Linked DNA regions of Mus musculus. The protein of the gene in region 4 purifies or fractionates together with the protein of the main gene of each other region. This does not show direct contact. Links are inferred from orthologs where the notes say so. Each region holds a gene or a part of one and is shown on either strand. Other genes may lie near its edges.

Region 1 (3,778 bases), on a different chromosome or scaffold from region 4:
CATTGTGATCTAATGTCTAGAATCTGATTTTGTTAGACAAAGAGATATTGTGGGTTGTCATAGGGATAGGTTATCAAATTTTCAAAAAAAAAAATTATACAGCCATATCCTACGTTGGCAGAAATTTTTATAATTAATGCAACTTGAAGTTAAAATTTTACATTGATATACAATTTATAGAATAATACAGATTTAAATTTCTTATATTGATACAAGATTTAAAATTATTATTGTTACTCTTTGATAGGCATTGTGCCTGTACAACTCTTCTAAGAATACAAGGCTTGGACCCAGTCCTTCTAATAACTCCCGTTAAAAAGTGTTTAGGGGTTGGAGAGACAGCTCAGCGGGTAAGAACACTGACTGCTCCTCCAAAGGTCCTGAGCTCAAATCCCAGCAACCACATGGTGCCTTACAACCATCCGTAACGAGATCTGACGGCCTCTTCTGGTGTGTCTGAAGACAACTACAGTGTATTTAGGTATTAAAATAAGTAAATAAATCTTTTTTTAACTTTAAAAGAGTAAAAACAGTGTTTAGGATGATTAAGTAATACAAGTCAAGGGCTAGATTATATTATATTCTGATTTAATTATAATAAAGTGTTTTTAATTTACTCAAATAGAAATGACTAAGAATAGTTAAGGTATAACAGTTCAGATATACTTTAAATAGATAGACAGTCTTCTTTTTTAAAAAAAGATTTATTTATTATATGTAAGCACACTGTAGCTGTCTTAAAGACACTCAAGAAGGAGTCAGCTTTTGTTATGGATGGTTGTGAGCTACCATGTGGTTGCTGGGATTAGAACTCAGGACCTTCGGAAGTGCAGTCAGTGCTCTTAACCACTGAGCCATCTCTCCAGCCCCCGACAGATAGTCTTCTGTGGACAGAAGTCCACAGAATACAACATTTAAGGCCATTTCATTATTAAAGATCATTTGACTAGAATCTAGTCTGCTCCTGACTACACCCCTTTCTTGGTTCAAAGAAAAAAATTAAATATCAATAGAATTGCTCCAGTCGTGGAGAGATTACCACTAGGCAAAAATTGCCTCAATTCATCTACAAAAATACTGTCCAGGAAAAGGTCATACTATGTGAAATAGTTGACCGGTAGCTCTGCCAAGCAAGACAGGGTAAGCAGTCCTTCACAATTCTGCTTTACAAAAGTCTGTCAGATGATCCTGGGCCAGAAGGCTCATTATATATTCGGATTTAATTATAATAAAGTGTTTTTAATTTACTCAAGTAGAAATGACTAAGAATAGTTAAGGTATAAATGTTGGAGACTGAAGCTCTAACATTTTGAGGAATTAGGGACTGTCCAGGTAGTCAGCTGTCTCTACAAAATGTTTAAATTTTGGAAGCTATCTCTTGTGCTTCCTATATTTTCAGGTAATATTTAAGTCATTTTTGGATTTCTGATGGAGTTGAAGACTAGTTATAGTTTCATAGCACTCAAACTGTTTAACATTAAGAGAGATGATACAGATTTGAGAGGATGATTTTCAGATGGTAATACAAGCTAAAACCAGAATATAATTCAGATATAAAATTGTAAGCTTTTAAAGTTAGGATAGATGGTAGAGTGTTTTATCTAAATTGACAATATGACAGACTGGGTTTTAAATATATCTTATACTTTCTAAATTGCATAATAGTTGTACTCAATTTATACGAGGGGGAAAAAAAAAAGGGAGAGCCCTTTAATTGTACAAAAAGGGGGAAACATTGTGGCTTGCCCTGGTGCTATTTGTATTCTGATGTTAACTCTGCTTCCTCAAGAGGGGCTGCCCGAATAAGGAGTGGATCATGTGCTCAGGTGATCTCATGTGAACCTTCTCCTCATTCTAACTGGTCAGATAAAGGCTAGAGCCTGTGATTGGGCAGTGGAAGGGAAAGGTGGGGCTGGAGGTTTTAGAGAGGAGGAAGAGAAGAAAGAGGAAAGAAAGACAGAGGAAGAGGAGGTGGAAGATGGAATAGTACCACGTGGCCTGGAGAAGCCGCAAGTAACAAGGGATCTCATAGATGGGCGACAGAGTAGTGTAGCGGTAAATGTGCCCAATCTAGCTGTGCAGCTTGTGAATGCTGTAACTGAGTTGTGTGGTTTTTGCTCGGACATATTGGGGCTGGAGATTTACTGCAACAAAGAGATACCTTATTTCTTAGACCCATCTTGAAGGTTCAGCATAGACAGCAAATGTCTGCATGCTTTGGGATTTTGTACCACAGACACAATTCTGAACAACTCATCAGCTTACATGGTAGCCCATATATAGTGAGTGACATTCATGGCTCAAATGTTATATCTCTAGCATTTATAACATAATCTGCTCACCTGGTCATAGTTGTCCTGCCCGTGGAAGAATGGCTCCTTTCGGAATATCATGCTCGCTAACATGCAGCCCAAGCTCCACATGTCCAAGCTATAATCATACATCTGAAGGCAGTAAGGACGGTCGATCAGTCAAAGATGGCTAGAAACTCTTTGTACTGATGGAGTTTCTAGTACTCATCTGACTCCTGAAGATTGGCCCGTATTTCTAAGGCACTAGGGTCTTATACTTATCAGGCAAGTTCCATTCTTAGCCTTTCTGAAGTTATAACTAAAAGTCATTCTTTCCTTAAAAAAAAAAAAAGGGCAGCAAGAGGCTCAGCTGGTAGACTAAGTATCCAAGGCTGCCAACCCCAACAACCTAATCCTTATGCCAAGAACCAACATGGTGGAGAGAACAAACCCCTCTAACCCTCACACGTGGGCTGTGGTACAAGTAAGCTTATACATACATAATGAAAAAAAATTTAATGTAGTTGAGAAAAAGCTTTATAGAGTAGAATAATAACTGGGTTTTGTATGAATCCATCGACTACATAGCAAACCAGGAAAATCCCTAAGAAAATATAAAATTAATGCAGAGCAGAGCAGCTTCACTGACACGCTCACCTGATAGTCCACAAGGAGCTCTGGTCCCTTGAAGTACCTCGAGGCCACTCGAACATTGTACTCCTGAGCAGGATGATAGAACTCTGCCAGACCCCAATCAATCAGTCGGAGCTATAAGAAAGACAAGAGGAAACAGACCATGAAAGATGCCCTTGGACATGCCCATGCCTGTGGTGAGGCCACAGCACGTATCTATAACAGGTACTTGATCACATAGAGTAGGAGTGTACCCATGGAAGACTACACTTCAAGAACTGCAGATGAGGTCATTTCTGGAGCACTTGGAATGTTTCCGAGTTTTTCCCTTTAAGTTACCCTGGTCTTTTACTCTCTCCAGATCATCAGAACTCAACCTTGTTTCTGCCTCCATGCTACTTACATATGGAACACACTCCCCCATCACTCACGGCTGTTAACATGAGCTCCAGGCAACACTGAAGGACATGTATGGCTCCCTCCAGGCAGAAGCACTGCACACTGCTCTAACTGGTTATTAAGCTAACACTGGCTGTGACAGCCAGAGTTGGAGGGCCCCAAGTGTATCTCTTAGGGCTAGTTGGACTGGAATGATCATGAAGAAGTGACGTAGAAACCACTGTTGTAGTTTCTTCCTAAAGCCCTGTCAACTCTAGAACTAAAATAAAACCAGAAACTATAGTCATGGTTAGCATGTACACACGTTCCTGGTAGAAACTAATAATACAGGAGACTAGAGAAGTCAGAGTAATCAGTCTACAAAAGGAATCAGCATGGTCTACAGACAGCATAGACAGCATCGTGTCTACTGATACCACAATGCTATTTGACGAGGTTTAGATCTTCCCTAAGCC
Region 2 (4,227 bases), on a different chromosome or scaffold from region 4:
ATAAATCTTTAAAACATAAAAATAGAAAGATTCCCAAGAAAAAGAATAAAAAGGGGGGCTGGTGAGATGGCTCAGTGGGTAAGAGCACCTGACTGCTCTTCCAAAGGTCCGAAGTTCAAATCCCAGCAACCATATGGTGGCTCACAACCACCCGTAATGAGATCTGATACCCTCTTCTGGTGCGTCTGAAGACAGCTACGGTGTACTTACATATAATAAATAAATAAATAAATAAATAAATAAAAGAATAAAAAGGAGAAACACGACCACCACATTGAACCCTCCAACAAATCAACTGTCCCAAGCTGGGGATAACTGTCACCCTATCCCAGGGCTGACGCTTCAGACACTCTGTGTGATGGCCTAGGCTTCCCACTGTAGCAGACAGGTGTATACAGGGATGTGAGTTTGCTTCAAAGAGCCCTTGACACAGTATTTAAAAGGCTTTCTAACAGAAACAACAGGCCAAGTAACAGGAGGTAGACTTTCTGTGCACAAGTCTGTGAACTTACCCAAATTCTAAAATACACCCAAATAATTTGACGAAACACAGTGGCCTCACCTCCTCAGTGGCTCCCTGTGACCTCATAAACTGCAACATGCCTTTAACAATACCTAGAGCTTACAGAGCACAGGGACTCAGTGCACAAAGTACTACCGAAAGCGCTCCAAGAATAAAACAGAGTAGTCACTGCCCCCATGTGAAAGAAACCTCTGGGGGAGCAGCACAAACAACAGCAGATAAGCTGCAGGTCTGAGGGAAAGTAGTTATTCCAGTCAGCTGGACAGACTCAGCCTGAACATGTATGCAACTGCAACAGTTTACTGCAGTTTACAGGAGGGCCCATCACCTGCACGCATCCAGAAAAGCACACCACCTGACTGGGAAATGAGCTAGTACTCCTCTAACGGAGAGCTACTGAGACATTCCTCAGCCATCAATGTAAGGAGCAATCATAATGTAAAGTCTGGCTTTGAGGTTAAACCTGAAACCTCACATGGACCCCCACATAAGACTAAGATGAAAGGACACCAAAAGAGAACAATGCCTCAAAGTCTTCAATCCTAGAGGAAAGAACAGGAACACCATGCACCACACAGGTGCAGCCAAGCTGTTTTACCTGCAGCCATCTCCATCAAGGTCAAATCCGCTGTAGCTCAAGCCCAGGTGCAAGGATCAGACTAGGGTAGGTCCCAGGGGCCTCTCCACAAACAAAGCTCTTGTGCCCAGGAAATACCAGCTGCTTGGTGCTTTTAGCTTTTTGGAGACAGGGTCTTGCTATGCACTGGTATTAAAAAACCAGTCTCAAGCTTGGTATGGTTGGTGTAACAGGCATAAATCAACTACCAGGCCTGACCTGGTGCTTATTCTTAATGCAACTATGGCCATGAGTTCCCATAGCAACCACTTTTGTGGACCATACAGGTAGCAACAGGAGCTGAGACTTAAGTAATGAAAAGGGCTAGAAAGTCTCTTTCAACCAGCATCTCATCTCCCTACTCCAGTGAAATGAAAGGCCAACAGTGTAGGGCAGATCTATCTCCAGTGTGGGAAGTCTCTAGGAACTAAGCTTCTTTTAGCATATAAAGAGATTCACCTAACAGCAGGTGGATGACCTTGCCAACAAGCACACCACCACCCAGCCCTGCCCATCACATCGTTAATAAGCTGGGTCTTTCAGGAAGACAAATATTAACATCTGAAGACACTAGTTGTAGCACCACCCACTTTAATTCCAGCTCTAAGGATGAAGAGCTCTAAGGATGTGGGCCCCAAACAACCAACCAAAAAACAAAAACAAAAACGGGGAAGAAAGAAAGAAAGAAAGAAAGAAAGAAAGAAAGAATATCAACATTAGCCAATCTGCCTCACAGCATTCAGGAGGCTCAGGAATTCAAAGCAGTTAAATGTGAGGCTAGCATCAACCTGAAACCGGCTCAAAGGAGACCACCACTTTCCAATTCCACAGGGTAGAGTCCAAGACAGAGCACTCAGGAAAGCAGGACTTGGGGAGGGCAGGTCTGGGAGGAAGCTGGGTTAAGCAGGATCCTCAGCAGGTGGTTTGGAGCTGGCCTCCACTGCCCACAAAGGAGGTAGGTAACCGGCAGCCGCAGCCGGGGCTTTACACTAGAGTGAGCCTGACTATGGAAGGGCAGCAGCCATCAGTCTCCCTCCAGTCAAATGTAGACTCCTGGTTTCCACCCTAGTACACAAGTATGGGAAGACAGAATGGTTCAGTCACTCAGGTGAGTGCAGTAGGTAACCCAACAAAGAACTCCAACCCATCCTCTCTGGGCTCCTAGATACCTAGGTACTAGTAGCCTTGGCTTCACACCACTGTGCGCTCAACTGCCCGGCTGTCCCGGACAATGTTCAGAAACCCTTGACCGGTCAGCCCTAGTCAGGTAGAAACTTGCGCTAGGACACAAATGAGGGTTGTGCCCGCAGCACGAGAGGCGCCAAGTGGCCAAGGAAACCTGCGCGACGCTGGCTGGGTGTCCCCGATGAGACAGAGAATTCCACTCCCAGTGACGCCAGTCTGAGGTGTGAGTCTCGAGAAGCTCGCAGGACTAAGGGTCTAGGGGCGTAGCAGGGGCCGCAGTGGAAGTAGCGGGCCGTGGCGGCCACAAGGGGCGGCGGGGTCGGGGCGCGGCCGCAAATGCGGCGTCCGGCCCGGCCCGAGGCCCTCGGAACACGTGCGGCGCTGTGGAGCCCGGAGCCCGAGGGCCCTCGTGGCCGCCGCTCGCCTCGCGCCCGCGGGACCGGGTTTCTCGCTTACCTGCCGGGGCCGCGGCGGCGGGGCCGGGCGCTCTGGCGTCGCGTCGGCTAGCCCTACGCGCGAGAGCAGACGATCTGCTGGACTAGGCGGCAGCGGCGCGGGAGGCGGGAGGGATTGCGCGTGCGCGAGGGGCGGGACAACGGGCGGCGACGAGGGTCAGAAAAACTAGAGGAGGCGGAGCGCCTTAAAGGGGCCGTCTGTGGTTCTCGCTTCCTATTTGACCGCTACTGGTGTTCGGTAACTGCAGACTGGAGCACTCTAGAATTAAAGATGGGTGAGAACGTGCTTAGGTGCCTCTCCTGTTATTCTAGGCTGTGTAGCCAAGCTAACAGTTACAATTTGCCTGTGCTGGCCCGTGCCTGCCCAGGACTGTTGGGAAACCTCTTGGTGCCACTGGTGGATGTCCACGAGGTCCGGAAGTCCGGAGCTCCTGCGGCCTCCCCAGCCTACCGCAAGGCGGGGGGCTTCCTGCCGCTGCAAACCACAGCTCAAATTGAACATACTTGCCTCTCTTCTACAGGGCCATAAGGAGGCTACGCTGTACCACCACCACCACCCCACACAGACACACTCCGAAAAAGGTCTTAGGAGCTACCGCTGCAGGGAGAGATCTACAGTAGTGTCCAGGGAAGGCAGGGCACTACTGTAGAGAAGGAAGCCTGCACGCTGACAAGAGAGGAGCTACCTGACTTAGAAGACAAACAAGAAAGAATGTGGACAGGAAAGGCAAGTGTCCCTAACACAGGGGCTCCAAGTCCTCCAGCTATGCATGCATCTGGAACGATGCAGTTGCACCTGAATGTAGGCTCAGGCAGTTCACATTCCAGGCAGCCACAGCATCCACTACAATCTGGCTCCTGTGTGGCTCTGGAGCTCCATTTTAAAGGCTTTATCTCATTTTCACAAGACAGCCCCTAGCAGGCTGGCCGGCCTGCAGTTAGCAAAGTTTTGACAGCCCTCTTTCCTGTTGGACCACCTCTACTCCTGTCACTAACGGGGAAAACACCCAGAGAGGAGGACACAGGGACAGAAGGAGAACCTGGAGCCAGGTCTGCACCTCTCACTTCACTGTCTAACTCACATGGTCTTAGACTCTTGGAGGTGGCTATGACCTGTGCAGCCTCATCTTCCAGTCTGGGAATATCAAATATAACGCGTGGGGAACCTGTGCAGAGGGAGGGACTAAGCAACTGAAGCTTGAGAATGGAGAGTGTGTGGTTGCCATAGCTACAAGAGTGTGAGAAGACTGACATTGGCCTGGAATCTCCTGCTAAAGGCACAGAAACAGTTCAGACGAATCTGTGTGTCTAACAGACCTATGCCAGGAGCCCTGGATGGAGTGGAGCATGGGATGGTAAGAATAACATCTCCGTATCTGCCTAGCTAACCGGACTGGAAACCAAACCTAATCCTCTGCCACCCACCTCTCAGATAACATTCAAACCTG
Region 3 (4,279 bases), on a different chromosome or scaffold from region 4:
GCACTCACCCCCACTCCACTGCTCCGTGCCAGCTCCTGCCATCCCCATCCTGTCCACTGACAACTGCCTGCCCGGCTTCACAGCCCCGGTTCACAGTGAGCCCAACTTACCTGCTGGTCTGCCTGGGCACCAGCAGGGGCAGAAAAACCCTAAGTTATTTGTCTTCTGTCTGCCCTTCCTGCCCCTCTTCTGTGACCTCAAGCGTGACTTTTGTCTGTTCTCACCAGTGTCATGGCCTTCAGAGCCACATGTCTACAGGACCCTTTACAACCAGATTTCACTTAAGCATCAAGTGCTTAGAACACTTCAATGGTGCCTCTTTCTTTCCCTTCAGCATAAGTTACAAAGTCCCTTTCCGAACCCAAACATCACATCCTACTTAAAAACACAGTTGGCTACAGAGAAGACCCAACCCTTGACTGTCTGCAAGAAAACAGGGAGCGCCACTTCACCTCTGCCTATGTCTGTGCGCACTTGTTGGGGGACTAAGCTGCAGCATTCTGATACCCAGTCACAGCACTGGCCTAGCCACACCACAATGGCTAACCCCAAACCGGCAGCCGGACAGGAGCTCCTGACCACTTGCCTCCCCAGGGGACACTGCACACAGGAGTGTATAATGACAAACTAAGATGACTGGGCTTGAGTATGCTGACTCAGTGAAACTACACCATGCCATGTGGCCTCACAAAGGCACGGGAGCCAGCACCCCGTTTACACCCATTCACCAAATCTAGCTACTTTGTAGGCATGCGCTGGGTGGCATGTCTCTCATTAGGGCACTCGTGGGGACGGAGTCAGGACATGGATGTACATAGACAACAGATATAACGAGATCAAGCCAGTGCCATATGTAGTTGTGACTTCAGGTGACCTACACAAGGTCTCTCAGGGTGAGACATGACCCCCCCCCCCCCCCGGCCCCCAGGAGCAGGTCCGGTGCTCGATGACCAGAAGAGGGTCTGTTCCATGCGGGCCAGTCAGGACAGGACTCCGCACCTGCACCACGGTTCCGCTACACCTGGGCACAACTCTAGCTGATGCGGCATGTCTGCCTGCATTTCCAGGGCTGCACAGAAAAGGCATGAATCTAACAGTCACAGAACAGTGGACACTGAGGAACACTGGAACGGACACGATCAGTGTTGGAGGGAGTTAAAGCAATACTGCAAAAATGTATGTATGTGACCAACAATACAGACTGTATTTACAGCCTTAAAACCTAATTGTCCATACCTGTTTCCCAAAAAAACTTCAAAACGCTCGGTAGCTTCGTGATAAATATGAAGCTAAACCAACCAGCATTTCCACGGTGTTTCATTAATCACCAAATGTCATCTTTCTGAGAAAAATGTGCCCAAACAAGTAGTTGGGATTCAATCCATCAAAGCTGGATTACGGTCTTACGTACTACATAAAACTAGTACAGTGTAAGTTCCATGTTGACAGCTCTCCTGTGTGGAAACCCACTAACAAACAACACCCTCTCACACACTCATAACTGAGAGATGTATTAATTTTTTTATTTTATTTAAGCAGTTTAGATAAAGAAAAAAAAATCAAGACATCATCATCAAACCACGAAAAAAAAAACAAAAAAGAAAAAAAAAACGTGTCACGCTTCGGATGACAAAGACCATTTGTGCAGAGGGGAGACACCCACCTAACGACTCTCGCCATCATCCCTCATCTCCATCCCAGCTCCTGCCTGTAAAATGTCTTGGCCAACCCACTGCCACACACGTATGGCCACTCTCAAATAAAGGGAGAAAACTGCAACGAGCTGTGCCAACATGTCTGCAGCATGCAGCGACCATACTTACATCTTTTGCCATGTTACCAGATCCAGGAAATCAAGGCTTTAACTGCGTACCCTCCACAGAAGAAACCGTACTTATCTGGTTAAAAAAAAAAAAAAAAGAAAGAAAGAAAGAAAAGAAAAAAAGGGAGGGGATGAATAATGAATGAGAATGAGAAGAAATTTAACGCACATCGCATTTCAAAGGAAACATCTCCCCACCAGCACGAGGCAGAGGCAGGCCTCCAGGCAGCAGGGGCCTTTCTTGCACAATCCCGACAGGAGAGCTAGCCAAGCAGGTCCCACACGGGGATTTTAAGTCACCTCTCTAAATGGAAATGCTCCCTGCGGGCACCAGCAGCTCCCACCGGCAGCGGGGCCAGACCCCGGACCCTTGGCTGAGCGACGCGCAGCCGTCAGGCTCACCCCACCTGGGCACGCGGGCCCCGCCTGACCACAGGCCCCGCCGAGGCACAAGGCCCCCCACTTGGGCACACGACACTGCGTGGCTCCGCCCGGGCCGCGGCGGGCACCCCCCACCCCGGGCTGCCCAAGACCCCGAGGGGCCGCCGACCACTCTGACAGGTGGGCTCCCGGCCGCCCGCCCGCTCGCCCCACCTGTCACTAGGCCCAGCCACCAGCCCCGCGCCCTGGCGCGGACAGAGCCGGAGGGTGGCCAGGACCCCTGCCCGCCGCCCACGCCACGCCGCGTCGAGGCCGACTCCAGCTGAGGCTGGGCGGCGGGCGGGATGCGACCGGACGCGGGAACCGGGCTGGGGCGGGAACGGGGCCGCGCGCCCAGCCTGCGCCCTCCCGCCGCGACCGGCCGGTGCCCCCGCCACACCTGGCTGGCCGGCGGGGCGCGCGGGGCGGACGACGGGGGCGCGGAGGCGCCGGCCCGGAGGTCCGGCCCTGGCGGTCCCTGCCCTGAGCCAGCGGCGCCGGGACGCGGGCTCACCCTGGGCCGAGCGTCGGGCCGGCGTGACGTGCGCGCGGCGCGGTGACGTGGGCGGCGGCGGGCCCGCTGCGCGCAGCGCGCCTGCGCGCCTTTTCGCGCCTTCGGCGCCCTCCTCCTCCTCCTCCTCCTCCCGCCGCTCATCTCCCGCGCCTCTCGCCGGTGCTACCCGCCCTGGGAGAGGGGCGGGGCCTGCGCGCGCGTGCGCGTGCGGCGGGACCCGGCTGGAGACCGCCGACGCCGAACAGCGCTGCGCGCGTCTCCATGTGCGCTCGGAGAGAGGCCACGTGTGTGCGCGCCTCTGTGTGTGTGTGTGTGTGTGTGTGTGTGTGTGTGTGTGTGTGTGTGTATGTGTGTGTGTGTGTACACCAAGGGCCAACTGTATGCATATCTGTGTGCATGCGCAGGGAGTAGAGGGCCACGTGTTTGGCTCTGTGTGTGCGCGTGTACCACGCGCGCCAACGGTGAAAAGAATGTGGTGTGTGCCATACCTGCATGCACACGTAGGGAAAGGATCATGTGTGTGCACACCTGTGGATATGCAGAGTCTGACTGTATACACGTGTGTGTACATGGAGTATCAGTCGTGTGTGCACGCCTGAACATATATACAGAAGAGAACCCTCTGTGCAAACATATGGAAACCTATGTTAATGTCTGCGCACTGAAAAAAAGCAGGCGTGTGTGTACACATGAGAAAAAAGAGGTCAGTTCTGAGAGTGCTTTAAAGTACCTGCATGTGCACACAGGGAGAAGAATCTTGTTCATTTACACAGAACAAAGTAAAGACTGTTCGGATGCATACTGAACAATACAGAGACAAGATCCCCCACCTCTGCTCAACTACTGACCTCCACAGCCACATGCCCTGAGCCTGGGCTGTCAGTGATTCAGGGCAGGAAACAGCCTGTTAATCAGGTGTGTATGCATTTGCGCCTTTCACTTCAGAAACCTTCTGCTTCATCCCAAGAGGGGTCTGGTAGACCCTGAGCCTTGAAGACTCAGTCCATCTTAGAGGCCACTTCTTTAAGACTAAAGCTGGAGAGCCTGGGAGGAGAATAGGCTGGGGCTCACAAATCAGTCCAAATGGTTCAGATAAAATGACACAACGTTTCCCAAGAATATGGGACTGAAGAGCAGGGCAAAGTTAAGTACTATCAGAAAACTGTTAATGTGAGTGACCGGATTTTATTCTGGAGGAAAGGTCAATTTGACTCCCAAACTGACAGATCTTTCTCCGTTACCTGGCTGCCTCAGTCCCATGACTCAGCCCAACAGCCCTTCTTTAGCATCTGGCCGAACTGTCCGCCAGCAGCTGTCCTGTTTGAACACTGCTCAGCGGCTTTGAGGAAGCAGCCCTGCAACCACAGCTGCTTATTGCTGAAGCAGAAGAGGCGATACCCAGGCATGAGTGTGTCAATAGCTTGCACCAGAAATACCCAAGGCATGAGTGTGTCAATAGCTTGCACCAGAAATACCCAAGGCATGAGTGTGTCAATAGCTTGCACCAGAAATACCCAAGGCAT
Region 4 (4,396 bases):
ACAGTACATGTGTGCACATACACGTATGTAAGTACACAGTACATGTGTGCACATACACATAAAGAAGAAAAGGCTTCAGACATCTAGAATAGCTTAGGCTTGCCTTCGTGATTGGCAGCTAGAACAGATTCAGTTCAGAGGTTGTTCTGACCCAAGGGATCCAAATGCTGGCTGTGGTCACACAAACAAGTCATTAGCAAGCTGTGTCCCTGTGTGCTGCAGCTGCCCCCTCCCTGCTCTCCTTCCATCCTATCTGCCAACAGGCACATCAACTGGGGGAACAATGTCCCCCGACCACTCAACTCTTGCCTTCCATCTGTGTCCCAGTCCTTCACCTGGTTTCCTGTCACTCCTAAGAGGAAACACTGTGCATGTAACCAGCATCTACTTATTAACAAGGCCATGTTCTACTGATCCATCCAAACACTGTGCATGTAACCAGCATCTACTTATTAACAAGACCATGTTCTACTGATCCATCCAAACACAGATCTCGGGGCGGGGGGGGGGGGGGGGAGGGGGGGAGCAAAGGGAAATGTAACAGACAACAGAGAAGTTACAACTCCTGCCATTCACTTAGGGGTAAAGTCAAAGGAGACAATTCAGAGAGAGAGAGAGGAAGAAGCTCAGAGGGACACCGTTCTGAGCACCTACTTTTAGGAACACGGTGTCCCTTAGACTTCTGGTGAGGGGCCCAGAGCCTCTTCAGTTTCAATCCAAATGACAATGCTTCTCTGAGTCCTCCTCAAGTAATGTTTCCACCACTAAAAATTGGATCTACTGGTTAAAAACAAAAACAAAAACAAAAACAAAAAGCCAGGGGCCTGCAGGTGGGTCTCAGGCCTCTCTAAAGCAGGCCCACTTCTGTTGTGGGCCAGCTCCCCTGTGTGCTACAATCCTCCTTCTTCCAGGAGTCAGGGACTCAGCCTGGTGCTTCTCTTCTGAGTGTCACCACCTACTCTACTTCTCGGGGCTCCTCTAACCCCAAGACTGGCTGTGGAGTAGGACACACCAGCTTGCCCCCATCCTTGCTGTCCCTGCAAATAAACAAATAGGCTCTTCTAATCCAGTGTTCGTCTAAAAGTATGAGAGGATACAAGTAAAAACAAAAGCAAAAAAAAAAAAAAAAAAAAAAAAAACCCAAGTCAAATGATCTCCATATTGCTCATTTACAAATACACATATATTATACACTAAGCCGTTTCCATCCTTATATAGACATATACACCGTGCTTTCCAAAACACTTAAAACGTGAGTCCAGAAATAGCAAGTAGTTTCTCTTTTTAGAATCTTTCCTTGAACTTAAAAGGGATTTAAAACCTTGCTTTTTAATAGACACCAAGAAATACTAAAAATATTGTATTCAATGTAAATGAGAATTCGTAGTAAAAACCTATTGAGATTTATGACAGGTATGTCAAAAACAACCAGTATTGTAGAAACAATAAAATCCTGACATGTCTCTACACTTACAATGTTAGTAAAATTCTATAAACTGAGTTTTTAAAAAAAAAACAGGATACATCATTTTTAGAAATAACTTTGACTATTTAGAATGTCAAAATTATACAGGCCCTCTGTTTCAAACAGAAAATTCCCCGTATTCTGTAATCATTTGTATTTGAATAGGCTTCATAGCAGCAAAATAAATGCCTTACTTAAATATTGCTACAAATCACTGTAGAAGTGGATTTAAAGGCGGCCTTCCCAAGGGAACTATGACCAAGTGGAGACAGATCAAGAATGCTACTGAGTTCGAATTTCCTAAATTTAACTCTTTTAAATGGTTTTTTTTTTTTTTTTTGGAAAGACAATTATAATACTATATGCCTACCATACAACAAATCCAGGGCCGGCAACAGACAAAGATCATGTCATCTCGTTTGTGTAAAAATATCCAGGCACTGGAGTAAAACTGCGTTGCTGGGTTCACCTCCCAACCAACTACTTAACTGTAAAAAATTATTACAGAAATAGAACAACAACAAAAAAAAACCCAGACGCGAAACCTTGGCCTGACCCTTTCCGGACATCCGTTACTAAGAAAGTTTAATCCATTACGATCCTACAAGCGATACTTTTTCCCCAGGGGGACCGAGTGACATCGCGGCCTTTCCTCCGTCCCCTCCCCCGCCCCGGCTCCCCGTCCCCGCCCCCTCCCCGCACACTAACACCACAATGCGACCAGCGATCACGGTCTCTGCGCCCGGCTGGGGAGGGGGCACCGCACCGGCCACGCATGGAACGGCACGGCACGGCAGCGGCCGGCGACCCCCATGGATAATTCATCCTCCGCAGCAGGCGCCACCGCCGCCGCCACCGAGCCCTCGCCGCCAGCCGCGGCTCAGCCGGGTCGCGCCCCACCGCGGCCGCCGCCTGGCTGGCCGCCCCGCCGTCCCGCGTCGCGCGGGGGGCCCCGCGGGGGATCCACGGGCGCGCCGGACTCACCGGGTGGAGGTGCCCTTCCGCACATCGCACATCATGCACTTGAAGGCCTCGGCGCTGTTCCGGAAGGTGCAGACACTGCAGTCCCAGTAGCCCTCATCCGAGGCGGGCTTCGGCTGCCGCTTCGGCCTGCAGGACACAACCGGACACGACGCAGCGCGGGGTCAGCCGCAGGCCGCGCCCGGCCCCGCGCCCCGCCCCGCCCGGCCCGCGACCCCCGCCCCGCCCGGCGCCGCGCGGGGGAGGGGAGCGCGGCCGCTGACCCCGGCCGCCATCGCGGCCCATTGTGGGCAGCCGCGCGCCCCGCCGCGCCGCGCCGCACCCCCTCTCCCCACACACACGCGCGCGCCCCGCGCCGCGCCGCTCCACGCCACGCCACGGGACCCCGGGCCGCGGGCGCTCCGCCGGCGGGCGCCCTACCTGGTGGGGCTCTTCTTGTCGCCCATGCTCGCTGCCGACGCGCGCCGGTCTGTCAGCGCCGGGGTGAGGGGCCGGCGGAAGCGCGGAGGCGAGGGGGCGGGGAAGGCCGCGCCGCGAGCTGCAGCCGCCGCCGCCGCCGTCGCCGCCGCCGCTGCCGCCGCCGCCGCCGGATCCCACGCAGCCTCCAGCTGTCGGGGAAACTCCTGCCTGCGCGCACGTGACCCGCGCCGGCCAACCAGCGGCCGCGCCGGAGACTTCAAACGCGGGGAGCGCGGCCCAGCACCGGCGGCGAGTTCGCGGCGCCGCCTCCCTCCAGCTCGCCCGCCCGCTGGCTGCCCCGGAGCGCTCCGGCCGTGGCTCGCACGCCCCGAAGGGCGCGATGGCAGGCGCCCGCAGACACGCGTGCGCCCGGCGCGGCGGGGACTGTCATCCTTCCTTCTGGGGAAGCGACCCAGAGGCTCGGGAGAGGTTCGGTGCCCTGCTCTAGCTTACATAATTCAAACGTGACGAAACCAGGGTCTGATCCGGTTTTAATTGCAGCGGCGTCCTCCTGGCCTCACGGGGCTCTGCAGTGGCTTGTTATAAAACGGACGCTCGTGAGCCTACGTAAGGCAGACGAGGTTGCTTGTGCCCTGGACACCACCTCCCCGAGTCTCCTTACTCCAGCCTGTCGGGGATACACACCTCGCCTGCTAGACCCAAACAGCCATCTCGCTGGTCCTTGAAGCTCTGCTTCCCACCTCGCCGATCTGGCGGGTACCCCACAACCAGAGTTAGCTTGACATCCCTCTGATCGAGGGGCGACTTTAGCATGCCAAGTCGGTGAACCGTCATCAGGAAAGCTGCCCCTGAAGAAAGGAGAGATGAAATCCATCCCTTCTCGGAGCCCTGCCTTCTTCTGCCTTATTTGGGTGTGCTGATGGAGGCGTTGTAGCCTCCGCATCAGGCTTAACTAACTGAAGGGGACCCAGTTCAGGCACTGCGTACTTAACAGTTGATCTGACTGTGTGGCTCCTGGGATACTATAAGGTTGTTTAGAAAATGTATCCAGCTGGGCCAGAGCAGGATGGAGCAAATTTTCATCATGATACTCAGAGTGAGATGGCAACTAAAAACTTGAGGAGTTAACTGTTTAGGAAGTCCTTAATATTTTGAACTATATCGTCTGTGGGTAATTGAAACAGGAAAGCAAAACTCCAGCAAAAGGGAGACTACTGTATTGATGTGTTACTTACCAAACAAGAGTTAATAACCAAACTGGAGGATGCTCTCCTTTTTATCATTGGGAATATGATATTAATTGGGGTAATTAAGAGGGAAATAGGCTTCAAGCTTCTGAGAAAAGAAAGTCAAAATGAATTATAGCAGAACGGGTGGGAGTATACAGCTCAGAGATGGAGCACTTGCACAAGGCACTGAGTTACTAGAAATTTGGAAAAGCATTTAAAAGATTGTTTTATGTGGGGTTTGCTTGGGTGCTTAGTATTACTTTATTTTTGCAGAATAGAGAGTCTGACTTAGTTGAGTGTA
Region 5 (3,705 bases), on a different chromosome or scaffold from region 4:
TCAGAGTTAATCTAAAAAGGAAATCAAACATAGAAGTAATTCACTGGCTAGATTCATTCCAAAGTTGGTCTCACAACCTAGGTCAGAGGATACAGAGTGGGACTTAGGATAAAGACGCAGTAGTGTAAAAGAAATACAATCACCCAGGCACAGCCCAGGCACCGGAAGCACTTGTGTTAAAGTGTTTTTACAACACAAGCAAATCCTGTCATTGAAGACAGAACGGGTTACATTCCAAAATATAATTATTTAAGAAAGGCAAATGCAGCAGCTACATCTCAGTCTATACATTTTCAGAACAGTGATTCTTGCCTCACGAGTTCCCGAGAGACCCCTCAAATGCACCATGATTATTTACAAACTAGATAGGAAACATTTCTATACTCAATACAAATCTCTTCTAGGTCGAAAACTTCATCCTTTGAGAAATCTATGAAAACAACTATACAAAAATATAAATATCTTCATCTTTACAGGTTGTCAGTCCTTCATACCCTGACAGCCAATGAGTGAAAAAGCTCTACAGATCATTGATGCCATGATAGCAGATAAAAAATATACTTTGTGACTCAAATACTGCCTTACTTCCCTGGTAAAGATTGCTCACTCTGACTCGCCTTTTCTTTACATCCTGTGCAGGTGACAGTGAACAAAACCTTCAAGCACCTAGAGGCTGGTTTCATTTGGGAAATACCCAGCCCCACAAATTTTTATTTTGGCTACGGTCTCTGGTTAGGGGAGAAACTGCTTTTCATTTTAGCTGTTTCTTGAGTGACATGATTTGGGAAAGGGAAGGGCTGCCTCTATGTCTACTTCCAAAAAACAATGAGTAGAAATCTCTGGTATTATGAATGAATCTTTGTGATACCCCAAGAAATAAGGGAGAAGTATGTCTTTTTTAGTCTCTGAAAATAAGTATGTTAATAGTAAAAGTAAAAAGTATATTCCTACTTTACCAGAAAGCTTAGGTTTTTAATTATGACTGAAAGGGTAAGGGAAGAACTATTCTGGATATGAAACAGTCTGCTGAATGACAAAATCCCTTCACTTTGGTATTCCATAATATTCATCCTACCTACTATAACATTCTCTCTTCCTACTCCCCTGGCCCCCACAAGTGTGTATGTGTGTGTGTGTGTCTGTCCCCTTGATAGGCCAGGGTAGACACAAACTTGCAATCCTTCTGCTTTAGTCTTCTAAGTGCTGGAATTACAAGTGTGCACTACCATGCCCAGTCCTACCATGCCCTACTATTGAAATAGTAACTAAAAGTTCTTTTTTTTTTTTTTTCCCACACAACTGTATCATAATTCTCAGATTTTGGAGCCAACAACTATGACTTATACTTTAGTCTATAGTAATTCCAAGTCTCAAGCATTTTCTCAGGGGAAAATAATAAGGTAGTTGATGGAGCCAGAATCTTGTTATGAATTCCTTGGGCAAGAGGGAATCACACCTTCTTAGAGAAGATGAGGGGACCCAGCACCACAAGTGAGGTAACACATTTTTAACATGATCAGAATTTCAAACACCAGGACCAGCACCCTACACCTCCTTTCTCCATCAATATTCACACATAATTAAGTCAAGGATAATAGTTCCATAATACAAACAAACAGACGCCTACAGAGAAAGGAGGTGAAATTCATTTCCCCTCACAGCCTGGCTTTTGTATGAGGATGAACAAGCTCATTTCCCTGATGAACTTGATGGAGCTCCAGAGTTGCCCAATTTAGGTACAACAGGTGCCAATGTAGGCATCACCTTGCTCCCCCGGCCTTCCTGGTCAATTCCTGCTAAATTCATTTTGTGTCCAATTGACCCAACTTTGGCAGCTATAGGTGCCAAGGCAGGCATCACCTTGAGACTCTGACCATCGGCATCACTGGGGGGATTAGCTACTTTTAAACCTAATGGGGCCAACTTTGGCATAGGCCTCCACAAAGTATCTGTGTTGCTGTTCTCCGGGCCAGTCTTCATGTGTAAGATGGGAGGTGAAGATACACTTTCAGGCTCTGCGGGGAGACCAGAAGTACTCTGCCCTCCATCACTAGATTTCCTATGGGAAACAAGAGAATCCTTTATTTCAGGGTCAATAACAATCTTAAGGACATCTGGCTCAGAGGCTGTGTCCCCAAGCTGTTTTTCATTCTCAGAAAAGTCATCATCTTCCAAGTGCAAGAGGAGGGGGCTGATGGATTCACTCTCCTCTTGGACATCAGGCAACTCTTTCACACCTGCTCCCAAGTGTCCAACTTGGAAAGCTGATCTGTTCCCAGGAGCAAGTTTACTGATAAAAGCTCGCTGAGCATCTCCTGAGAATTCTGTATCCATAGAACCTGACAGTTCAGCTAGGCCAGAGTCATCATTTAGCTGTTGATTAAGAAAAGCAATTTCATTGAGCAGTGAAGTCAGAGTCTCATCAGTGTCATCCTCATCTTCCATGTTAGTCAGCAGCTCACTGGGATGGAGGGCTGCTTCCTCGATAGCCGAGGCTACTTTCCTCAGTTCCATCTCTATGCTTGAGTCCTTCAGATCTTTCATCTTTAATTTATGAAACTGAGACTCCTTTGACTTTAGTCTCTCTCCTCTCAACTCACACTCCTTCCATTTATACCGATGCCCTCTCACATCACCAGACATATTTTTAGGTATAAATTCCTGTGCTGCCTGCATAGTGGAAACATCAGCTACATGTGGAAACCCAGAATCTTTATTTGCCAAAAGCACCTGTGTTGGACCCAGTGCCTTTCTGCTATCTCGATGGTTTCCTCTGGAAGAGATTCTCTCTGTATCTTTTAAGGAGCTGGCTTCACTCCCAGCAATGTCTCTCAGGTGGTCAAGTGGCTTGCCATCAGGAACTTCGTGACGGTATTTGTTGCCACTCATACCTCCCAAATCTTCCTCTGCAGCCAATGATGTCACATTGACAATTCGTGGCATCATAAATAAGTCATCATTCTCTGAAAATCAAAAATTAAAGAGAGAGTTCATTAGATGCAGTAATGAAAATCTCTTTTTCTCTCTCTCCTTCCCAGTCTATCTTAGTCCACTTTTGTCAGAATAACAGCTGAGGGGTTGGGGCTATAGCTCAGTGGTAGAGCTCTTGCCTGCAAGCGCAAGGCCCTGGGTTTGGTCCTCAGCTCTGGAAAAAAAAAAAAAAGAAAGAAAGAAAGAAAGAAAGAAAGGAAGGAAGGAAGGAAGGAAGGAAGGAAGGAAGGAAGGAAGGAAGGAAGGAAGGAAGGAAGGGAGGGAGGGAAAAAGAAAAAAAGGACAAAATAACAGAATAACAGCTGAAATAGCAATAAGTCAAGTAAAATCTAGTCAAGACACTTAGGTATTTCATTATTAGCAATAGTTCCACTTAATTACATTTTTAGAAAATCTCTACAAAATAACTCTTTTCTTTTTTTGGACTGGGAGAGCAGTGGAGGAGACTGAACCCAGGAACTTGCCTATACAAAGTATAAGCAAGTACATTACCAGCCCTAGGATTGGACAGAATCAGGATCTTCCTATGGAGGCCATGGTTAGCCTCCAACTCACAAAATTCTTGTCTTGTGTTTCATAAGAGCTGTGATTATGGGCACAGGCCACCATCCAAAAACCAGCTTGCTAAGCTAATTCTTGTCCTGAGGCAGAAACACATCTTGATTTTGTTCACCCAATTAACTGCTAGTTAGAAGGGAAAATGGAACTCTAAGA
Region 6 (4,559 bases), on a different chromosome or scaffold from region 4:
TCTTTTTTATTCTATCAGGGGTGGATGGATTTGTTAAAGAAGTGCTTTTAAAAACCTTGAGATGGTTATTTAGAAGTCCCCATGGGATACCAAAATAACCCACTATTTATATGCCCAAGCATTTCACCTCCACAACAGTGCTATGCACCCTTTAACATTTTTGAGACAGTAGCCCAGTCTAGTCTTTAACTTGCAGTGATTTTTCCTGATTCAGCTTCTCCCAGTGCTGGAATTATAGGTATGCACCACCATGTGTAACTACAGATGCTACTTAAAAATTTTTTAAAGGAATCACAAAAATAACCCCCTATCAAATGCCTAGTCCCTCTAACCATCACCAAGTGAAGGATCACGCAGGAAAAAAAAAATCACCAGCAGCACCTCAGAACCAGGATACTCAGTCCATCAGCATCCAGGGCCATACCCACACTCACAGCATCTCCACAGTTTACCAGATGATTCATGCTTATCACTGTATTGGGTCATCTAAGAGTGACCATCAGGGCTTCTGATCACAGAATCTAGTCCACTTTGCAGACCAGTTGAAGTCATGCACTATATGAGATAGAAATACCCTCTTGCTCATTTTGGTCAGAAATTCAAGGATAAAAACCCATGTTTTGTTAATGCACACCTCCATATGATTGAGATCAATGTGTCCTAATTAATGTAGAAACCACAACTGTAAATTTCACTCTTTTGACATGAATCTTTTTCTAGACAGGGTCTTGGATGCAGCCCCGACTACCCAGAATTTTGGAATCCAGGCTAGCCTCAAACTCAAGGCAATCTGCTTGCTTCAGCTTCTCACAGGCTGGATCACAAACATACACCTTCAGACCCATTTTTTTTTCCTCCCTCCGTTTTTGGTTTCTCTGTGTAGCCCTGGGTGTCCGTGGACTCGCTGTGTAGATCTATCTACCAGCCTCTGTCTTGGAGTACTGGGATTAAAGTTGTGGGCTACCACTGCCTGGCTGACCCAGTTTTATTTATTTTAAATATAACTTGACAAAAATAAATTTGTCTAACTTACTAGAAATCCCAAGAAAACTAACACTGGATTTAGCAACAGTCAGAAATCGCTGAAAAGAAACAGAATTGATCTAACAGTCTTAGATCACTCCTAGACAGTTTGTAATTCTTGCTCATGGCAACGTGAGCTCTATCTAACTCACTCTCTGTGCACTAATGAATGCTCAGTGTCTCCAGAACAGCACAGCTTCCAGGGTAATCATGCCAACCCACAAGACTTTTATAGAGCTGTCCACGACTCTTCCCCCATTCAGCTCATTAACAATATGATGGAGCTCCTGTGTGGAAATCAAGGCACACTCTGGTAGAAACTTGTTTTTTCTTTCCACTTTTCCTTGGGCTCTGAAGATTGAGCTGTTTTATAACCCACAAACATGCATTTTTTACCTCAAAAGCATCCAGCAAAAACTGTACAACGCTTTTTCAAAAAAATGTATTGTGATCCTCCTTAAGAAAAGCCTTACTTAGTGTTAATTCCTTTTTCTTTAGAATGCTGGTAAATACAAGGACTTAGGTAGGCTGGCTTCTAACAGCAATTCACCCACTTATGATGGGATTAAAGGAAGGCACAACCATGTCCACCACAGGTTCTAGCTCCCCCACCCACACGCCCAGAGAGGGTTTTTCTGTGTAGCTCTGACTATTCTGGAATTCACACTGCAGACCAGGCTGGTCTCGAACTCAGAGATCCACCACCACATGGTTTCTTAATTGTAATTTTAAAGAAAAAAAAAAATCCTTCAGTTAAGATTCTTATGTTCTAGGTTTTCACAAACTTACCAATGTAGTTTTATTGGAGGCCATTTTTTAAATTTAATCGGAGACTTGAAGAGCTATTGCAAGAAAAAAAATGTAGGACAGTTAAAATTTCATGACACACAAAAGGCAGCTACAAGTTTTGTGTGGATTTCAACATGTAAATTTCGGGTAAAAATGCAGGAAAACAGTTGAGTTCCCGTGTTATTAGTATGTTACTAATAATTTCAGTATGTTAGTGAAAATAATCTTACTAAAACACTGGTACCTCAGACAACTTTACATGGTGAGGATTGTTACTTTCCCAATCCATATAGAATTTTAACAATTTTAGTGTTTATTTTGGATGAAAGGAAATGACTATCTTTTGTTAGCAAATTACCATAAGATCTTTTTCTTTAGATTTCTGAATACTCCAAGGAGCTCATATAATTCCATCCTTATTTTTTCAGAGGCCCTCCCTGTTCAATCACGGTATAAAAAAAGGAACACATTAAGATGTCCCAGTCCTATTTTCTGGCTTTTTTTTTCCGGGGGTGGTGGTGCGGTAATCACTCTCTATAGTCCAGTCTGGGCTTCAACGCCTGGCAATCCCCAGCCTCAAGCTCCCAAGTACTGTCCTGATAAGGATAGAAGGAGTCGACCTCCTTCACGCTCCCCTCCGAGGAGGGCTCCTTCCCAGCTCCATTCCCCGGTCGGGAGCCCGTCCCCCACCCGAGAGCGCGGGCCTCGTGGTCAGCGCCTCCGCGGGGAGAAACAAAGGCGGCGGCGGGGGCTCAAGGGCACTGCGCCACGGGCCCGCGCCTCCCCCATCCGGCGGCGGCCACGTAGCCGGGAGCGCGCCGCAGCCCGGAGCCTCGGGCCTCGCAGCTGCAGAGCCTGAACCGCTCTCTCCCTGCGGGCCTGCGACGAGGCTGGGGGAGGGGAGGCCCGCGCTTTGTCTGGAGTCTCGGTAGCTGTCATCCGGCTCCCACCCTCATGCACAATTGTCCCATCTCCCCCACGCACCGGCGCGGCGCCCGCCTCAGCGAGGCCCCAGCCGGTTTCCCGCAGCCCGCGGCCCACGGGGCTCGCAGCCTCCCCGCAAGCTCGGACGCACGGAGCATCCTAAACCCCACCACACGCAAGATCGAAAAAAAGCAAAGGCACGAACTTCACCGCTCCGATGCTCAGGGCCGCGGATCCTGCAGAGTCTCCCGCCTGCGCGCTTCGGTTCAGCCACATCCGAGGGGAGGGGGCGCGGGCAGCTCCGCCGGGGGGGAGGGGGAGCACCGCCCACGCCCTGGCCGCGCGGGGCCCGCCGGGAACGCGTCCTGCGGGGGGCGGCGCGCGCAATGCTCACCGTCCGCGGCGTGGCGCCCAGGGGGTCTCCTGGCTGGGGGGAGGGGGGGGAAGGCGGGCAGGAAGGACCGCGGAGGCCTCTCTGCGTCTCGGAGCGCGCCAAAGCGGGGCTCCACCCACCTCCTTGCCCGGATCTTGAAGGCCGGGGAGATAAACAGCGGGGTTCTTTAAGCACCACCTCTCACTAGGCGCGGGATCCCAAGGCTTGTGGCATCCGGGGTGGTACTTGGACTAAAAGTCCTTCTGGGAGGGACCGAGTGAGAACCCCTTTGGGACGTGTAGAAATATTTGTGTGGTTCGAGAATATTTGTGCGGACGGGCTTGGCAAAGGCGTAGCTGCAGAGAGCACGCTTGGGTGGAGAGGGCCGCACGCCCCAGCGCCGGCCTAAGCCCCTCCCGACGGCGTTATTTCAAACTGCGCGACCGTTTCTCCGCTCCCTACGCGGAGGTGGGGGCCGGACCTAGTTCCGGACGTAGTAACACGCCGAGCGCGAGCCTTCCGCAATTCACGGAACACAGTTGCGCAAGTGATGTAAAGCAGTCCCGCTGTACCTAAAGGGGGAGTGTCACGTACTTGGCGTAAGGAGAGTGTAGGCCCTTCCCGCCATTGGCGGCGGTTAGGGCGTTTACGTAACGGCGTGACGTAAGCGGAGACGCGTTAGTGGGGGGAAGGTTCTAGAAAAGCGGCGGTCTCGGCTCCAGCGGCAGTAGCAGCGGCGCCGGTCCCGTGTGCAGGAGCTCCTTTGCGGCCCAGTTTCTTGGCCATCGCCTGCTCTCCCCACAGCGCCAGGACGAGTCCCGTGCGCGTCCGTCCGCGGAGGTCTTTCTCATCTCGCTCGGCTGCGGGAAATCGGGCTGAAGCGACTGAGTCCGCGATGGAGGTAACGGGTTTGAAATCAATGAGTTATTAAAAATGGCATGGCGAGGCCGTAGGCACCGCAATGGAAACCGGCCACCCGCCTCCGTGGTCCGGCGGAGGGGATGCGGCCACTCGAGTGGCGGTTGGCCTTGGCGAGTTTCTGAGGGGTCGTTGGAGGAGGCCTCTGATTGTCCGACCGCCTTCCCCGCCCTCAGCCGCCCGGCGCCATTTCCCTCAGTTGGGGTGGGGGATGGGAAGTGCCCGCCGCGACCGGGCTGGACCGCTAAAGTAGCGCGTGAGCGGGCCATCGCTGGCCTTTCGATGTGCGCGGGCCTAGGGGCTCGGTTGTGTTCGCGGCGGAACGTTTCTGGGGCCCCCCCGGCTTCCCGGAGCGAGTCTGCGAAGCTTCCCCTCCCCCCTCTCCCGGGAACCGGATTTGGCGGCCGCCATTTTCCCGTCTCCTTCCTCGCCACGATTTTGCTTTCAACGCTTTAGGTTTACTAGTTTGGTTTTCTTTTTTCACCACTGCGTAGACGTGTTTAGCGATTTTCCTTTCTTTTGGAAGTCTTCA
Region 7 (3,778 bases), on a different chromosome or scaffold from region 4:
GACTTTTTGCATAGCTGGTGCCTGAGCTGCAGGAAAACACACTCGACTCAAACTGAAGGAGGCTGGAATGGGCGCCGAGGTGGGGATAGCAGCTGGTGTGGCAGCCGGCATGGGCGTGGGGGCTGGAGTAAAGATTGGGGCTGGGGTGGGCGCAGGCACCGGTGTAGGAGCAAAGGCAGGAATAAGGGTGGGGGTAGAGGGTGGGCCAGAGGAAGGGGTCGGAGTGGGCATTGGTACAGATGGGGGGGCAGGAGCTGCTGGAGGTGTGGATGCTGGCATGGGAGCTAGAACTGGAGTTGGGACAGAAGCAAGGACCAAGGTGGGAGCCGAGGGAGGCACGGGAGCCTGGATCAGAGCCAAGGGAGGTGCGGACACAGAGACTGTGAGAGGGGTCGGAGCAGGAGCCGACAAGGGCACAGGGACCGAGTGGGGAGCAGACACTGGTACTGGCACCAAGACAGAGGCTGACACAGAGAGAGGGTTTGAATCAGAGATGAGAGTAGGCACCGAGGGCGCTGCTGGGGCTAGGGGAGGGGAAGGAGCTGAAGCCGATGTGGCAACTTGGACTGGAACTAGTCCTGAGTGGGGCACTGGAGCTGGGACAGAAAGGGGAACTTGGAATGGATCGGGAACCGAGGGGGTCCCAGAGGCCGATCCAGGGGCAGGAGGGCAGATAGGTGCCGGCAGCTGACTGAAGTTAGTGGTAACTAGAGGCAGGGTACCCTCCACAGGGACTCCAGTTCCCAGAGTTGCCAAAATGAAAGTGTTCTTCTCCCCAACACCGTGCCGAGAGTCCAAAGCCTTTACCCCGGCTGGCGAGCAGTCAACCTGTTTGCTCATTTGGGTGCTTAAGGGAGTCCAGGAGCAGTTGGCTCTGCTGTGGCTGGCCTCAGTGCTGTCAGGAGTGGGCAGCTTGAGCCCGTCTCCCGGGCTGCTCAGTGGCACCAGGAGGCCCTCAGCCTCTGCTGGATTCCCAACATAGTCCATTTTTGGCTGAGGGTCATCAGACTGATCTTCTGACCTGTGCCCAAGTTTTTCTGTGGTATTGCCATCTGGGTTTGTCCCCCGGGCATTGCTGCCACTTCCAACTGCCGTGAGCTCCACCTGCGACGAAAGAATAGCATGGCCATCTTAGCAAAGTCCTGGGAACTGATGCAGGTACCCTGAGGCCCCTGGGAAGTACCTGCTGGTCCTCTCGACAACTCAACCAACTGCAATGTACAGGGCATGCGCAGAGCCGTTTCTGTCTCACCTACAGCAACTTGTGTCTTCTTGCTCCCAGTCTCAGGAAGGCCAAACTAGGCACATGGTCCAAGAAGCTCACCCTTTGATGGGTAGCATGTGACAGCACATAGCTCCTTACCTTGGAAAAACTGCTGCTGACACAAAACTCCTGAGATCCAAAGTGCTGGCAGCCACCTGTCGTGGACTCCTCATCAGAAAGAGGTGCTCTTCTGGCAGGGAAGACACAGCAGAAAAGGGAGATAAGGCCCGGACTTAGAGCACTGACACTTCTAGAAGGTCTTGCCTGCCTAGCTTTCCAAACCCTCCTGTCTCACTTCCATGGTGACCTCAGGGGATGGCAGAAGACTAGGAGCTGAACCAGGCAAAGCGGAGCCGCCACACGCAACTTTGCAAGTTGCTGAAGAGGAGGAGCCTTGTCTGACCAGAATTTGGGGGCCACTTATTGTGCTTTCTAGTGTTCTCACCCAAAGTGCAGATGAACCCCACCTTAGCACCTTCTCCTTTCGCCTGGAGCTTAACCATCAAGTTGACCATTCACTCCAGGATATACAAGGCATTGCCCAAAAGGAGAGAGATGTAACCCAGAATCCTCAAGGGTACACAAATTAGTTTTATTTTAAATCCAATCTTGTTTCAAGTCTATATGGGAAGTGCCATTCAGGGTAAACCTCTTTGTAAGCAAATCTCCACTTCCACAGTGCTTTCCAATCTAGTCAAAATCTGAAGCGTTTGCTCCTCTATCGGGCAAGGCGGGCCTGAAGCCCAACCACACTCACATTTACAGCACTGATGTGAGGCCATCTGGTCACTGACACCGAGAGGCTCTTTAAAACTACGACATTTAGCTGAGCATGTGTCCTGTCTGTAATGTGAGTACTTAGGAAGTAGAGACAGGAAGGTAAGGAATTCAGTCATTTGGGCCACAGAAGATCCTGTCTCAAACAACAAGGAAAATGCAGTGGACTGGTGATGTGTGTCTTTAAATCCTGGCACCCAGGAGGCAGAAGCAGGTGGATCTCTTTGAGGTCAAGGCCAGCTTAGACTCAGCAAGCCTATACAGTAAGAGTAAGACCCCGTGTGTTACTTGAAAAACCAGCAAAACAAAGCAAACACTTCTTTTTTTCTCCAAAGGAGCATTTCTAGAAGTCAACCTGGCTCCACACAACATGCTCTCTTCTCACAGTACATGGGCGCACCTTCCTTTCAGCCTCTCTGCATCACCACATCCTCTCTCCTCCCAAAGGGAGCGCCTCAAAGCCACAGAACTCTGTATTTCTATTGGTATGTGCCATAAAGAAAGTCTAAAGGCCAGAAAGCTGGATCTCAAAGGAGAAAAATTCAACCGTAACCCCCTCCCCCAAACTGCTCAAGAAGAATTCTCTAAACTTCAGGTAAGAATCCTAAAACATGTGCCATTTGACAAAACGAACAAATAAAAGGATCACACGCTAAAGTAAAGTCGAAGGACAAGTGGTGGCTCCATACCGGCCGCTGGCCGCTTTAAGTGCAGCAGGAACCCGGCCCCTGTGCTCAGGAGCCATATCAATAGGGCAGCCGCCTGGGTGGGAGTGGCTGCAGAGGAGGTAGGGGGTCAAAGAACAAAGCTGCAGCAAGTTTTCTGGGTGGGCAAAGCACAGGGCTGCTCTGCCTGCTCTTTGTTTGGGTTTGCCTGCCATCTTTGGAGCCCTGCCAGAGATCCAATACAGCCCGTGAAGAAAAGTCAGCAGCGTCTGCCTTAGCGACCACACTCTAGTCTAAAGGGTATTTGGGGGTGCCTGCAGTCAACTCCAGCAAGGAGGAGCACCCCTGCAAATAACTCCCTCCCTCCGACTGAAACACAGACTTTCTAACTGTACCTGGGGCAAGAGAAGCAAGAATGGCAATGAGGATCGGAGCCGGCTCCAGAAGGGGCTAATCAAGGGGGAAAGGCTTGTCCCCTTTAACAAACAGCTAGGGTGGCAGAAGTGGGACAGTTCCACCACTGGAAATGACTGCTGGTAACACAGGACTGTGAGGCAAGGGCTTTGGACCGCAGTTAGGGGTCTTGAGGAAGAGGAGAGATGGAGGGCTACAGAGAAGGGAAAACACACTTTTCACATCAACTCCTGAGAGAGCAGAAAAGCAGGACCTATATGGAGCCAGCCTTGGGCTGGAGAAGCATGTTCCAACTAGACTCTCCAGGGATGGTTTAGGGGGAGGGCGCACCTCTCCCCTCCACAACTCCACATGGGAAGGCCCTATTTGTTTACATTCTTTCTCCTCCTGACCACGCTCCCTCCTGCTTGGTGGGCTCCTCCTTGGGCAGAAATTCTGCCCAGAAGAAGAAAGCAGAAGCTATATTCTCACAAGCCAGAGGTTAGCAGTGAAGCCTAGAGCCAGGCAGAGAGGCTGGTGGTGGCAGCAAAGGCAGCACTTCTGGCTACTCCAGCCATGCCTAAGCTGCAGCACCAGCCCCCCAAGCTCAGGGAGGAAAATGTGTGCGATGGTGTTTCAAATCCTCTGAAGGGGATGCAAAGCTAAGCAAATATTAAAA

Evidence for each region.
Region 1: the proteins of Yaf2 (region 4) and Csnk2a2 purify together in Homo sapiens (affinity purification with mass spectrometry; 9 studies listed by BioGRID and IntAct, counting the BioPlex papers as one, with this or other methods). This does not show direct contact. The link is inferred for Mus musculus from reciprocal best matches to the Homo sapiens genes YAF2 and CSNK2A2.
Region 2: the proteins of Yaf2 (region 4) and Wdr5 purify together in Homo sapiens (affinity purification with mass spectrometry; 4 studies listed by BioGRID and IntAct, counting the BioPlex papers as one, with this or other methods). This does not show direct contact. The link is inferred for Mus musculus from reciprocal best matches to the Homo sapiens genes YAF2 and WDR5.
Region 3: the proteins of Yaf2 (region 4) and Tfdp1 purify together in Homo sapiens (affinity purification with mass spectrometry; 3 studies listed by BioGRID and IntAct, counting the BioPlex papers as one, with this or other methods). This does not show direct contact. The link is inferred for Mus musculus from reciprocal best matches to the Homo sapiens genes YAF2 and TFDP1.
Region 5: the proteins of Yaf2 (region 4) and Mga purify together in Homo sapiens (affinity purification with mass spectrometry; 5 studies listed by BioGRID and IntAct, counting the BioPlex papers as one, with this or other methods). This does not show direct contact. The link is inferred for Mus musculus from reciprocal best matches to the Homo sapiens genes YAF2 and MGA.
Region 6: the proteins of Yaf2 (region 4) and Cbx3 purify together in Homo sapiens (affinity purification with mass spectrometry; 4 studies listed by BioGRID and IntAct, with this or other methods). This does not show direct contact. The link is inferred for Mus musculus from reciprocal best matches to the Homo sapiens genes YAF2 and CBX3.
Region 7: the proteins of Yaf2 (region 4) and Bcorl1 purify together in Homo sapiens (affinity purification with mass spectrometry; 5 studies listed by BioGRID and IntAct, counting the BioPlex papers as one, with this or other methods). This does not show direct contact. The link is inferred for Mus musculus from reciprocal best matches to the Homo sapiens genes YAF2 and BCORL1.

The regions. Positions count from the first base shown.
Region 1 is NC_000074.6:95,457,730-95,461,507, forward strand, and holds part of Csnk2a2 (casein kinase II subunit alpha'), read right to left. Parts: intron 3,060-3,778; coding exon 2,949-3,059; intron 2,445-2,948; coding exon 2,343-2,444; intron 1-2,342.
Region 2 is NC_000068.7:27,513,834-27,518,060, reverse strand, and holds the start of Wdr5 (WD repeat-containing protein 5), read right to left. Parts: upstream 2,915-4,227; 5' UTR 2,781-2,914; intron 2,756-2,780; exon of another isoform or gene 2,309-2,755; intron 1-2,308.
Region 3 is NC_000074.6:13,337,284-13,341,562, reverse strand, and holds the start of Tfdp1 (transcription factor Dp-1), read right to left. Parts: upstream 2,813-4,279; 5' UTR 2,757-2,812; exon of another isoform or gene 2,643-2,756; intron 2,622-2,642; exon of another isoform or gene 2,123-2,621; intron 1,899-2,122; 5' UTR 1,836-1,898; coding exon 1,824-1,835; intron 1-1,823. UniProt on the Homo sapiens protein: Can stimulate E2F-dependent transcription.
Region 4 is NC_000081.6:93,333,891-93,338,286, forward strand, and holds the start of Yaf2 (YY1-associated factor 2), read right to left. Parts: upstream 3,046-4,396; 5' UTR 2,893-3,045; coding exon 2,867-2,892; intron 2,576-2,866; coding exon 2,450-2,575; intron 1-2,449. UniProt on the Homo sapiens protein: Binds to MYC and inhibits MYC-mediated transactivation. Also binds to MYCN and enhances MYCN-dependent transcriptional activation. Increases calpain 2-mediated proteolysis of YY1 in vitro.
Region 5 is NC_000068.7:119,962,950-119,966,654, reverse strand, and holds part of Mga (MAX gene-associated protein), read right to left. Parts: intron 2,964-3,705; coding exon 1,690-2,963; 3' UTR 1-1,689. UniProt on the Homo sapiens protein: Functions as a dual-specificity transcription factor, regulating the expression of both MAX-network and T-box family target genes. Functions as a repressor or an activator.
Region 6 is NC_000072.6:51,469,122-51,473,680, reverse strand, and holds the start of Cbx3 (chromobox protein homolog 3), read right to left. Parts: upstream 3,066-4,559; 5' UTR 2,942-3,065; intron 2,430-2,941; exon of another isoform or gene 2,171-2,429; intron 1,866-2,170; 5' UTR 1,837-1,865; coding exon 1,813-1,836; intron 1-1,812. Other genes in the region: Hnrnpa2b1 (heterogeneous nuclear ribonucleoproteins A2/B1), read left to right, coding at 4,005-4,010.
Region 7 is NC_000086.7:48,365,095-48,368,872, reverse strand, and holds part of Bcorl1 (BCL-6 corepressor-like protein 1), read right to left. Parts: intron 1,455-3,778; coding exon 1,364-1,454; intron 1,105-1,363; coding exon 1-1,104. UniProt on the Homo sapiens protein: Transcriptional corepressor. May specifically inhibit gene expression when recruited to promoter regions by sequence-specific DNA-binding proteins such as BCL6.